Linked DNA regions of Xenopus tropicalis. The protein of the gene in region 2 interacts with the protein of the main gene of each other region in a pairwise test. Links are inferred from orthologs where the notes say so. Each region holds a gene or a part of one and is shown on either strand. Other genes may lie near its edges.

Region 1 (3,655 bases), on a different chromosome or scaffold from region 2:
AATTACAGAAAAGCTATATTATAAAGGGAGTCGTCTTCTTTGCGAAGGTGCCAACCCCATTCTGCGCCCCCTACCCACCCCCCACCCCCAGCATTGCTTCATATGGGAGCAAAATTTAAATATTGCGCTGCGGGAGGGTGGCATGCCGCCCCTAAGATTGTGCCGCCCTAGGCCTGGGCATTTGTCTCGCCACAAATCCGGGCCTGTGTGAAGGAAATTATAATAATATTATAGTAGTAAAGAGAGAGCAAGCGAGAGAGTATACAGTTGATAAAGTCACAGAATGTAAAGTTAATAGAGGCATAATACTGTAGGAATCTAGGAATTCACCTTTCTTCTTTTTTCAAAGTTCAGGTAACCATTCTAAAAGGAAAACAGTATTGTGCATCAGAATATGTTTATTGGCAAATAATGTCATGTTTAAAGCCAGAGGCAAGAAAACACCTTACTCCTTATTAAGACAAGTGGAGAGATCAAAACTATGCCCTTGCACTATATGCATGAAAAGAAAAACGAGAGGGGTTATGTCAGCCCACAGTCAGTGGCCAAAGTATCTGTAAGTAAAAAGCTTAGCCTCAGACCTATAAGCCCAGCATACAACAGAATATCATCTCTAATAATTGCATCAGTGAACTTATGTTTATAATGTGATTACACAACACTAAAAGCAGCAATAATTGTTTGTGCCCTTTCTTTTTAGTATTCCATAAGCATTACTGAATCAGTAAGCCTGCATGGGATATTGCTGCCTGGTAAATCATTTTGAAAGCCACAGATTATAAATTATATAAACAAATACAATGATGCATGGCAAGCTATTGCTAGTTCTGAATTGAGTACATTGTATAGATAACTGAGCAATCAGTGTTTTATATCAATACAGCACCACAAAAAGAATTACCTGATGATTTTATATTTATTTGTACGGAAGTAAAAAATATTTTTATTGAAATTATTATGATTACATACCCAAACTGATGTTCAGAGAGCAACCATGCTATTACTATGTAAATAAAATGGGTGGCATTCCCCTTCAATAAGACCTTTACCAGTGTTACTTTTTTTTTACTTTAGCAAAAGCTGCTAGCTAATCTAGAACTGGTCACAGAAAAGCACTGATTCTTACCTCTAGCTGGTCCCTTATGGCTGAATCCAACATGACCAGGTCAGTGAGGAACACTCCAAGGTATGGAACTACCCCCTGCTGTAGGAAAGGAAATGTTTGAAGTTGAACTGATGCTGGACAATAAGATAATGAGATATAAAAGGAAAGAGAGAAAGAGGGGAAAAAAATGTACCACTGCTCTGGATTCCCTAGTGCGAGGCTGTTGTCTCTTGGAGGTTATTTCAGGTTGGTCATGAGGCTACAATATGGATTAAAAACACAAAATAGACTATAGATATATGTCATATTATTATAGGTTTGGCTACAATGACTATGAATATTATAGTCCAAATCAAAGAGAATAATTGATTCTCACCTGAAAAAGCAGCTCTCTCATTCGGGCATAATTATCTTTTTCACAGAAAACCTCCCTCATTTCCTGGTAACTGCGTAGAATTTCCCTATGCAACATTATGAACATGATTCTGTGAGTATCATCCTACCATTTCTTAGCCTGTTTTAGCACAATTAATATACATGACACTGCTTTTCTTACCCACCTTTAAGTATTACACTGGCTGATGTAGCTTTATAATGACAATTTAGGAATGTTTTTTCAGTGGTGTGTATTCAGCCCAGGATTTACTCACTTAGACCTACACCACATTGCCATTTTGACCTCTGCTGCCTATTGGCAAAGAACAGTGGTGCCTCTCTTTGCCAGTAACCAATGCTCACTAGTAGCAGATGGGCCTCTACACCACTATTAGCTAAGAAAAACCCAGCTGATACTTCTAGACATAACATTGGTTGACATCAAATGCACTTTTTTGCGGAGCTGGAACTGTATCTTTATAATTGCTTTCTTCCCTGTCCCTATCCTTCTTTTACATCTGTACCCTTTTTTTTAAGATACCTGAAAACTTAATAAAACAGAGATTTACAACAAAAGAAAAACACTGGTAAACATCACCTTATTTTTGTTTACTTCACTACATTTTCATACTTAGAGTAACTAATTTCATATATTGAAAAATTGTACAGGAAGTGATGCAAACTACATGTTAGTGGTTTCATTAAGCAAAAATATAATATAAATATATTAACAGTCCTTAATGCCTTGTGGCAAGAACCAATGTGCCAGTTCAGCCTGCTCTGATGAATTGCGAGCAAACTGCAAAGTAGAGGGCAATGGAGTGAAATGGAACCCAGAATTTAAGAACAGCCTTGATAGAGTTTTACAATCATGTCTTCCTTTAGCTGGTTGTGCCTACACACAAAATAAACTCTTCCTGTAAATAACGTGCTAATGGAGGCAGATATCTGTTTACCTGGATGTTTCTGCCCATACTTTCTTCAGTCTGTGTACAGCAGTGCTTTGCAATGCAGTGATAATGGCATATACAGAAGAGAAATTCCTGAGGGACCGGCACTCCTACAAAAACACACAGAAGCCATTGAGAAAAATGTCATAGGAGAAAAGGAGATGGGTTATATTACCAGAAGACTTTATAGAAAAATAAATATTTAGGCAATAGATAGCAAGTGTGTAGGCAAGACATAAATTCAAACTGGGTAAAATATTAAAATATAGTTTTAAAAAATGTTTTTTTGTTAAAGGCTCTTGAAATACACTATAATTACCATAAAATACCTCATTCCTGCATTCTGAATTGCTGAAACAAAAGGACAACCTAATACTAATGTCATACTTTGCTAATCCCATACGGTTTCTAAAATGGACATACAGTGCTAAAAATGTATTTGCCTCGATTTGCATTTTCAAGTTCTGTAAAAATAACACCTAAAATAGACAAAACTCAGAAGATAGCTAACAATTTTTCATGTACATGTATTTCACCTCCCAAACCTTATCAATTATTGCACAATATAAAGATAATAGCTGGTTTAAGAGAGCCAAAAAGTAAGACCAATCTGCAAGCCATTTCTTTCTCACCTCTGCCACTCTCACCCACTTTTCTATGATTCGAGCTCTTTGTTGCGGTTTTAGTTGGGGGTCTCGAACACACGCAGAAGTCACTGCCCCAGAAAGACGATTAAAGTGCTGAACAGTCTCTCTGACTGACTGGCATCGGTTCCAGGGACTTCCAACCTTGTCCCTTCGAGACCACACTGAGCCCAGACATTCATATGGGACCACACGTAAGAAGAGAGACTGCCAGGAGGAGAAGAGGAAATACAAATAGTGAAGCACGCAACAAGGTGCAATAGAGAGTGGACAATTGTGGGTCAAGAGGCACACATTACAAAAAAATACATATAATGTGCCTGGGTGCTTAAAATTATTCATAATGGACAGCATTTTATCCCAATGTATTTAAATGAATTTTATTGCTGCTTCTTTGTCCATTATAAAGTATACACCCACAGACACCTAGGTAATACTGTATGTGTGTATATTCAGAGATATTATTTATGGACACACACACCCAAACACACCTAGGTATTACAGTTAAAGGGAAGCAAATGCTGGGGTGTAGCAGAGAAGTAAAGCAACAAAGCAAAAGTCATGATGGGTCAGTCAAAAAA
Region 2 (4,206 bases):
CATATCATATACCCAATCAGCAGGTAGAATTTACGGGTCACCTGTTTAAAAGCAAACATCTCATTGGTTGCTATGAGTTACTGCTCCTGGGCAAACTTAGTGCCTTTTATTACATATGAGGGTTTAAGTGGTACTTAAGCTTGAAGTCAATCTAGAAAATCATTATGTACACATACATATAAAGCGCCAACATATGCAATAGTGTTGTACAACAGAAGGATATACATGTTAAGCATACAAAAACTGAATGATGCATTAGGTATAAAGAGGGTCCTGCTCAACAGTGAAGTATTCTGATATGGAAACCAACAGCCATTGGCTAAAATAAGAAATGAACTGGTACAGTTATGGTATCCGGGTGGGTTTTCTACTCTGCGCCGGGCCCTTCCAAAGATTGTGGGATTGGGGATGGGGGGGGGGGCGATTGTGAATCAGTGCAGTTGCCATTTGTTTGTGTAGCCACATGGTACAATATCCAACCAATCAGCAAAGAGTATAATAAAAAATAATCAGCCCATGAGCGGGCAGTAGAGGGATAGTTCACCTTTAAATTAACTTTGAATATTACCCTGTAAATTATACTAAGAAAGAAAATTTGCAGTTGGTCCTCATTTTTTATGTTTTTTTTATAATTTCACTTTACATTCAGCAGATCTCACCCCACCATCACCTTGTTCCACTTAAATCACTGAAGTGATGGATTTCTGGGACTTGACGTCCCTCTGCTTTCAAGAGAATCTGTGAACCACCCACTATCTGTGAAACTCCCACTATGATAAGCAGAGGGATTTTAAGGGAAGTGTTTCATTACACTGTGAGCCTAAAGGGAGTGGTGTAGGAAACAGTTCATACAAGTAATATGGCACACAAGTAATATCCAAATCCTGCTGAAAAAAAAAAAAAAAAAAACTAGGGGGCAGATGTATCATAATGTGAATTTAGCTTAATACATAAAGTCTAACCAGAAAGTGCTTTTTTTGAATAATGAAAGAGAATATGCAGTAACACATCTTTCCAATACACATTAAACATGTTCAATTGTTTGTAAATTTAAAAAGCAGCATCTGACTGGCTGTTTACATTCACTGCAATTCTGGTTCTGACTCCTGAAACAATGTAGCAGAAGTTAGTCTGGAAATTACTGGCTAAATAGCAGATACATTCACATATAACTTAAAAACCACAGACAATCTTCCTACCTGTAGCCACAATATTTCTGATTTTTTTACCATATGACTGGTGACTCTCAGGTGTGGAAGTTTCTCTGGGGCTGGGCCTGCTTGCTGCCTCTTACTCTTTTCTCTGAATCCCCATGCAGCTGCTGGCCTTGGGTCCCGCCCAGTGCACTAATATTGGTAATATTGGAAATATCCCAGTTTGCTTTTCTATTGCTCTACGCTGTGGCTCTGCAATGTACCGGGAGGCACAGCAATGAATCAGCAGCCAACAGGTAGGTACATGACATCACACAGCAAGAGATGCGGCAGCAGAAACCTTAGAGAACTGCTCTGTTATTGACATAAGACCCTCCCCCATAGCAATATGAACAAAACACTGGAAAGCCTAGAGAGACCTCAAAAAGCAAATTCTCCTTAATTGCATTATCGTCATCCCATCAATATTTCAGCCTGTGACATATCGTTCCAGCATAGGCTCCTTGGTAGCATCAATAGAGCTCAGAGGAGGTTTGTTACAGGCAAGTAGCCAGGGTCAGCCAAGGACAATGAGAGAGCAACATCCCATACCCAACAGGGCTGTGCTGTGTTGCAGGGGTCTGGGGGGGTCCCTTCAGTAATTGGTGAAGCTGAATGTTATTGTGATTCTTATATGTTATTGCTTATTTTTCTTTTCAGGTCCTCTCCTAATCCATGTTGGCTTCAAAACTGGTTGCTAGGGTGATTAATGCCTAGAAACCAGATAGCAGTCAAGAGCTGCAGAAAATAATGTAAATGATTCAAAAACCACAAAAAAAAAAAATAAAAATGAAGATCAATGGCAAATTGTCTTAGAATTCTGCTTTCGACATCATTCTAATATGTAATTGATTCCCATGTTCTCCCTGAGATGAGTGCATTGGTCAAAATTCCTCTTTTACCACAGTCCTGACAGTGATTATCTTGGTGCAAGAGCTCACAATCAGATTTCCTTTTATTAATAGAACAAGGAATGTACCAGTCATAATAGCCTTCCCATCATTTCAATTCCTGCCCATATAACGGCAGACTGGGCAAAGTATGGCAATAGGCACCAGCCTAAATTCCAATGTTAATGTCCTATCCTGGGCTGGCACTACTAAACATCCACTGTATTAGGGCATGACAGAGATGGCACGGAATTAGCCCTGGGACCCCAGATTTAAAAAATCCCCTTGGAGGAAAAATGTTGCTTTAGCACATACCTCAGAGATGTTCAACCTAAACCTATTGGGAGGGTGCTGGCACCCAGCTGTAGTTCAACAACAGGGTCACAGCTTGGTAAGCCCAGAATCACATCAATCAATAACATCATCAACTCATTACTCCGCAGGGGGCGGCAGAACCATACTAACAAGTGGGTTGATTTACAAGACTGCAGCTGGGAAGGGAAAAGGGCTAGCACCACAGTTATTTGCCCCAATTAAAGTTCCCATAAATAGTGTTGGCAACTTTCCTTCTCTAATACAGCAAACAGCATAGCAAAACTGAAACAAAAACCCAGCTTCAACTATTACAATATCCCACCCCCGTTTGTATATATAAGAATAAATAGGAAAATCATTTCTGCAGCCCCTGCAACAGGAAACCAAAGACCCAATCAGGAACGCCCAGCGATCGCAGCTACTTACCGCAGGACTGTAGCAGGTGATCCCCCCCACATTAAAGTCAGCTGCTCTCCCTCGCATAGAACATAATACCTAGATCAAGCATTAGGGCAAAAGGCGCAATTTTTGCGAAGAGCAACAGATCTTTCAGCAGGCAATGTGTGGCGCTGCCCGGTGCCGCTATGTGAGCTGAGCACATACAAGCAGAGCAGCAGGGAGCAGATGAATGGGCGGCTTGGGCGTTGCTCTCTATGCAGCTGCTGCATTCACCGCTCAGGAACAATGTGGGCAGCCCACGCCCAGAGAGCTACTAAAAACCACGCCCCCAATGCAGTCAATCAAGAGTGCCTTCAAGTTGTGATTGGCCGAGGAGGAAGGACTTAGGCGGGAAGGGCATCCCTTGGGTTTGTTATTAGTTGGAGTCGGGGAAGGGGACCCATAGGGAAACGGATTCATTCATTTAGTACATTTACAAGTTTTGCGTTTTTATGTGGTGTTTGCGCTAGCGTTGCGTTACAAAGGTTTGTTTATGACTGCTGGACTCCTAAGAATAATGCGCTTATAGAATTGTTAATGTCTACCCATGTGCTGCTCTGTATCTCACAGGGGTAACTTGCCCACTTGGGCGCATTTTACTACCCGGTGCCGATGTATGCCTTTACAGCGTCTGGCGCGCAGTTTTGCAATTATGCTCTGAATTGTGGGAAGGAATTTTGCATTTTTTTTTTTTTTTAAAGTGTGCTGATTTTTGCATTCTGCAATCGGCGTTAATAAATGAGCTCCAGAGTGTTGGCTTTTGCCTGTGTAATATCATGTAAAGTAGTGTAACTTTACTGCTGGCCTGCAATAGCTTGTTTGGGCCATTCCATTAGCTCAGTGCTGTCCAACTGGCGGCCCACGACCCCCATCTGTGTGGCCCCCCACCTGTCTGGCTGCTTTGATGGCTTACCTTTGTGTAAGATTTAAATGGTATCAGTACTGTGATTAACTGGCCCCCCTGCATGGTTCTCACCTCAGATTCAGGCTGTAATCCCCCTGTATTGTTTAAACATGTAATCCCCTGTGTTGTTCACACCTTTTAATCTCTGCATTGTTCAACCCCTGCAGTGTTCACACCTCAGGCTCAGACTGTAGTCACTCCCATTGTTCACTTCTTCACACCTCAGACATGGTACTGTAGGCAGAGTATGGCACATACAGCCAGCATAGGGCAAGGAGGGTATGGCACACACAGGCAGCATAGGGCAGGGAGGGTATGGCACACACAGGAAGGGTAGGGCAGGCAGAGTATGGCACACACAGGCAGCATAGGGAAGGCAGAGTATGGCACATACAGCCAGCATAGGTCAGGGAGGGTATGGCACACACAGGAAGGGTAGGGCAGGCAGAGTATGGCACACACAGGC
Region 3 (3,226 bases), on a different chromosome or scaffold from region 2:
CAACATGGGAAAGACCAAAGAGCTGTCCAAGGATGTCAGAGACAAAATTGTAGACCTGCACAAGACTGGAATGGGCTACAAAACCATTAGCAAGAAGCTGGGAGAGAAGGTGACAACTGTTGGTGCGATTGTTCGAAAATGGAAGGAGCACAAAATGACCATCAATCGACCTCGCTCTGGGGCTCCACGCAAGATCTCACCTCGTGGGGTGTCAATGATTCTGAGAAAGGTGAAAAAGCATCCTAGAACTACACGGGAGGAGTTAGTTAATGACCTCAAATTAGCAGGGACCACAGTCACCAAGAAAACCATTGGAAACACATTACACCGCAATGGATTAAAATCCTGCAGGGCTCGCAAGGTCCCCCTGCTCAAGAAGGCACATGTGCAGGCCCATCTGAAGTTTGCCAATGAACACCTGAATGATTCTGTGAGTGACTGGGAGAAGGTGCTGTGGTCTGATGAGACCAAAATAGAGCTCTTTGGCATTAACTCAACTCGCTGTGTTTGGAGGAAGAAAAATGCTGCCTATGACCCCCAAAACAACGTCCCCACCGTCAAGCATGGGGGTGGAAACATTTTGCTTTGGGGGTGTTTTTCTGCTAAGGGCACAGGACAACTTATTCGCATTAACGGGAAAATGGACGGAGCCATGTATCGTGAAATCCTGAACGACAACCTCCTTCCCTCTGCCAGGAAACTGAAAATGGGTCGTGGATGGGTGTTCCAGCACGACAATGACCCAAAACATACAGCAAAGGCAACAAAGGAGTGGCTCAAGAAGAAGCACATTAAGGTCATGGAGTGGCCTAGTCAGTCTCCGGACCTTAATCCAATAGAAAACCTATGGAGGGAGCTCAAGCTCAGAGTTGCACAGAGACAGCCTCGAAACCTTTGGGATTTAGAGATGATCTGCAAAGAGGAGTGGACCAACATTCCTCCTAAAATGTGCGCAAACTTGGTCATCAATTACAAGAAACGTTTGACCTCTGTGCTTGCAAACAAGGGTTTTTCCACTAAGTATTAAGTCTTTTTTTGTTAGAGGGGGGTTCAAAAACTTATTTCACTCAATGAAATGCAAATCAGTTGCTATCTTTTATTTAAAGTTATTTTTTCGATTTTCCTTTTGATGTGCTATCTGCCACTGTTAAAATAAACCTACCATTGAAATGATACTGTTCTGAGACTTTTCATTTCTTTGTCATTGGACAAACTTACAAAATCAGTGAGGGGTCAAATAATTATTTCCTCCACTGTATAATCTCCTTTGTATAAAAAAAAAAAAACCACGAGGTATGCATTGCCCTTGCCCATAAATTCTGTATGTAAAAGACGAAATGTGCACTATTACATGACGCCATTCTGACGAACAGGAAATTGCACAGAAATGAGACGTATGTTAGTGTAAATAGCAGCGATAATCCATTTTCTTGCAAATTTTACAGCCATGAATAATTTCACTTTTTTTTTTTTTCAATGCATGGTTTGTGACAACAGGACAATGTAAATTGTAGGTTTTTTTGTATTTTACTTTTTTTTTTTTTAACAGAATTTGTGATTATGATTCTGCATTGAGGCCCTTTTAGAAAGAACTAAATGTATGTGTCAAAACAAAGAGACAAATGGGCCCTAATTATAAACTATGTACGAAAATGGTGAAGAGATAACATCACAAGTTGTAACAGAATGCCATGTAAAATAATGCAGAGCAATAGAGCTTAGTAATAAATTTGGGCATATGTGAAGTAGAGTGTAAAAATTGGGCATAAAAAAGAAAAAAAAAAGATTTTAAAGGTTTTTCTAAATAACAAAAAACCCCAGCACTAAACACCACCACTTTTTATACCAGTTAATTATTTACTTAATTGGCAAATAAGAGTTTATTGGATGCCAGGTCAGAGGAAGTGTAAAATAATGGCACAGTCATGGAAAATATACACCTTAAGGCTAATTGCCAGACGAGTCGTAGAGCGGTTATTTTCGGCAAGCAGAAAAGCGCTTGCTGAAAATTCCGCCCTACACCTCCTACTTGTGCCTGCACTGGAATGAATGAGATATGCTCGGGTGCAGGCACATGTAGCCAATATACGCATAAAAACGCGAGAGAATGCAAAGTCTCGCGTTTTTATGCGTGTATCGGCTACATGTACCTGCACCTGAGCGGATTCCATTCATTCGGGTGCAGGCACAAGTAGGAGGCGTAGGGCGGAATTTTCAGCAAACGCTTTTTCAAAAATATCCGCCTACGACTCATCTGGCATTAGGCCTTAGCCCTGTTTTGATCACTGGTTATTATTTAGCTCTTGGGAATAAATAAATAAAATGATTTTACACAGGTCAGATTTTGGTAAACCCAGATGTAAAATTTCTAAAGGAACTTACGTTAAAACATTTGCTGGCATCATCTGAGATTCAGGCGCAGCCTCTATTAGGGACTGCCAGGTGTTCATGGAATTGGGTATCACAAAACCAAACTCAAAGAACCACTCTGTAGAGTAAAGAAAGCTAAGTTTAAGTAGCTGTATCAAAGTAAGGATGCCCTGCAGTTTTTAAACCAATAACTATTATAATTGTACTTTTCAAAGCAGGATACAAAATTTTCTGAAATGTTCAGAGCTTTCTGCTTAATAAAACAAAAGGCCATGCCTTCTGAGATGCCATGTTTTGTGTGCTGCATAAAGCAGCAGAAGAACTCCTGTGTATCACTCTCTTACAGCCATAACTCTTAGCCAGGGGTCGCCAAACTTTTTAATCCATGAGTCACATTCAAATACAAAATCATGTAAAAGTTTCCTGGGGGCACCCAGGAAATTGGTAGCCTACAGGAGGCTCTATTTGGAAATGTTTTTTATGCAACTAAAGCTTGACTTTATGCCAGGAATTCAAAAATAAGGACCTGCTTTGAGGCCCCTGGGAGCAACATCTAAAAGGGTCGGTGAGCAATATGTTGCTCAAGAGGCACTGGTTGGGGACACACTGTTTTAAGCAGGTCCAGATGATTCACCATAAGTTAATGTATAATATTGTATTGTATAAAAATTTAAAAAAAAAAAGTTAGAATCCAGTCCCAACAACTACATTTTGACATTTCCTTTGATTTTTGCATTGGCAGTTGAGACCCTTGCTCAGCTTATAAGACATGACCTACATATTTCAGGAGCTGGGAGAAGAATGAGGATATATGACCTCACTGCCAAGGCTTTTTGTATCAAGTAGTAGAGTCATT

The links. The genes of interacting proteins can lie anywhere in the genome.
Region 1: the proteins of hras (region 2) and rgl2 interact in binary tests that used the Homo sapiens proteins (3 or more experiments, as listed by UniProt). The link is inferred for Xenopus tropicalis from reciprocal best matches to the Homo sapiens genes HRAS and RGL2.
Region 3: the proteins of hras (region 2) and retinal rod rhodopsin-sensitive cGMP 3',5'-cyclic phosphodiesterase subunit delta interact in a two-hybrid assay, tested with the Homo sapiens proteins (2 studies listed by BioGRID). The link is inferred for Xenopus tropicalis from reciprocal best matches to the Homo sapiens genes HRAS and PDE6D.

What each region holds. Positions count from the first base shown.
Region 1 is NC_030684.2:72,120,081-72,123,735, forward strand, and holds part of rgl2 (ral guanine nucleotide dissociation stimulator-like 2), read right to left. Parts: intron 3,282-3,655; coding exon 3,063-3,281; intron 2,541-3,062; coding exon 2,437-2,540; intron 1,567-2,436; coding exon 1,482-1,566; intron 1,365-1,481; coding exon 1,299-1,364; intron 1,205-1,298; coding exon 1,127-1,204; intron 364-1,126; coding exon 331-363; intron 1-330. UniProt on the Homo sapiens protein: Probable guanine nucleotide exchange factor. Putative effector of Ras and/or Rap. Associates with the GTP-bound form of Rap 1A and H-Ras in vitro.
Region 2 is NC_030680.2:34,323,571-34,327,776, forward strand, and holds the start of hras (GTPase HRas), read right to left. Parts: upstream 2,937-4,206; 5' UTR 2,825-2,936; intron 1-2,824. UniProt on the Homo sapiens protein: Involved in the activation of Ras protein signal transduction. Ras proteins bind GDP/GTP and possess intrinsic GTPase activity.
Region 3 is NC_030681.2:101,155,265-101,158,490, forward strand, and holds part of retinal rod rhodopsin-sensitive cGMP 3',5'-cyclic phosphodiesterase subunit delta, read right to left. Parts: intron 2,489-3,226; coding exon 2,383-2,488; intron 1-2,382. UniProt on the Homo sapiens protein: Promotes the release of prenylated target proteins from cellular membranes. Modulates the activity of prenylated or palmitoylated Ras family members by regulating their subcellular location.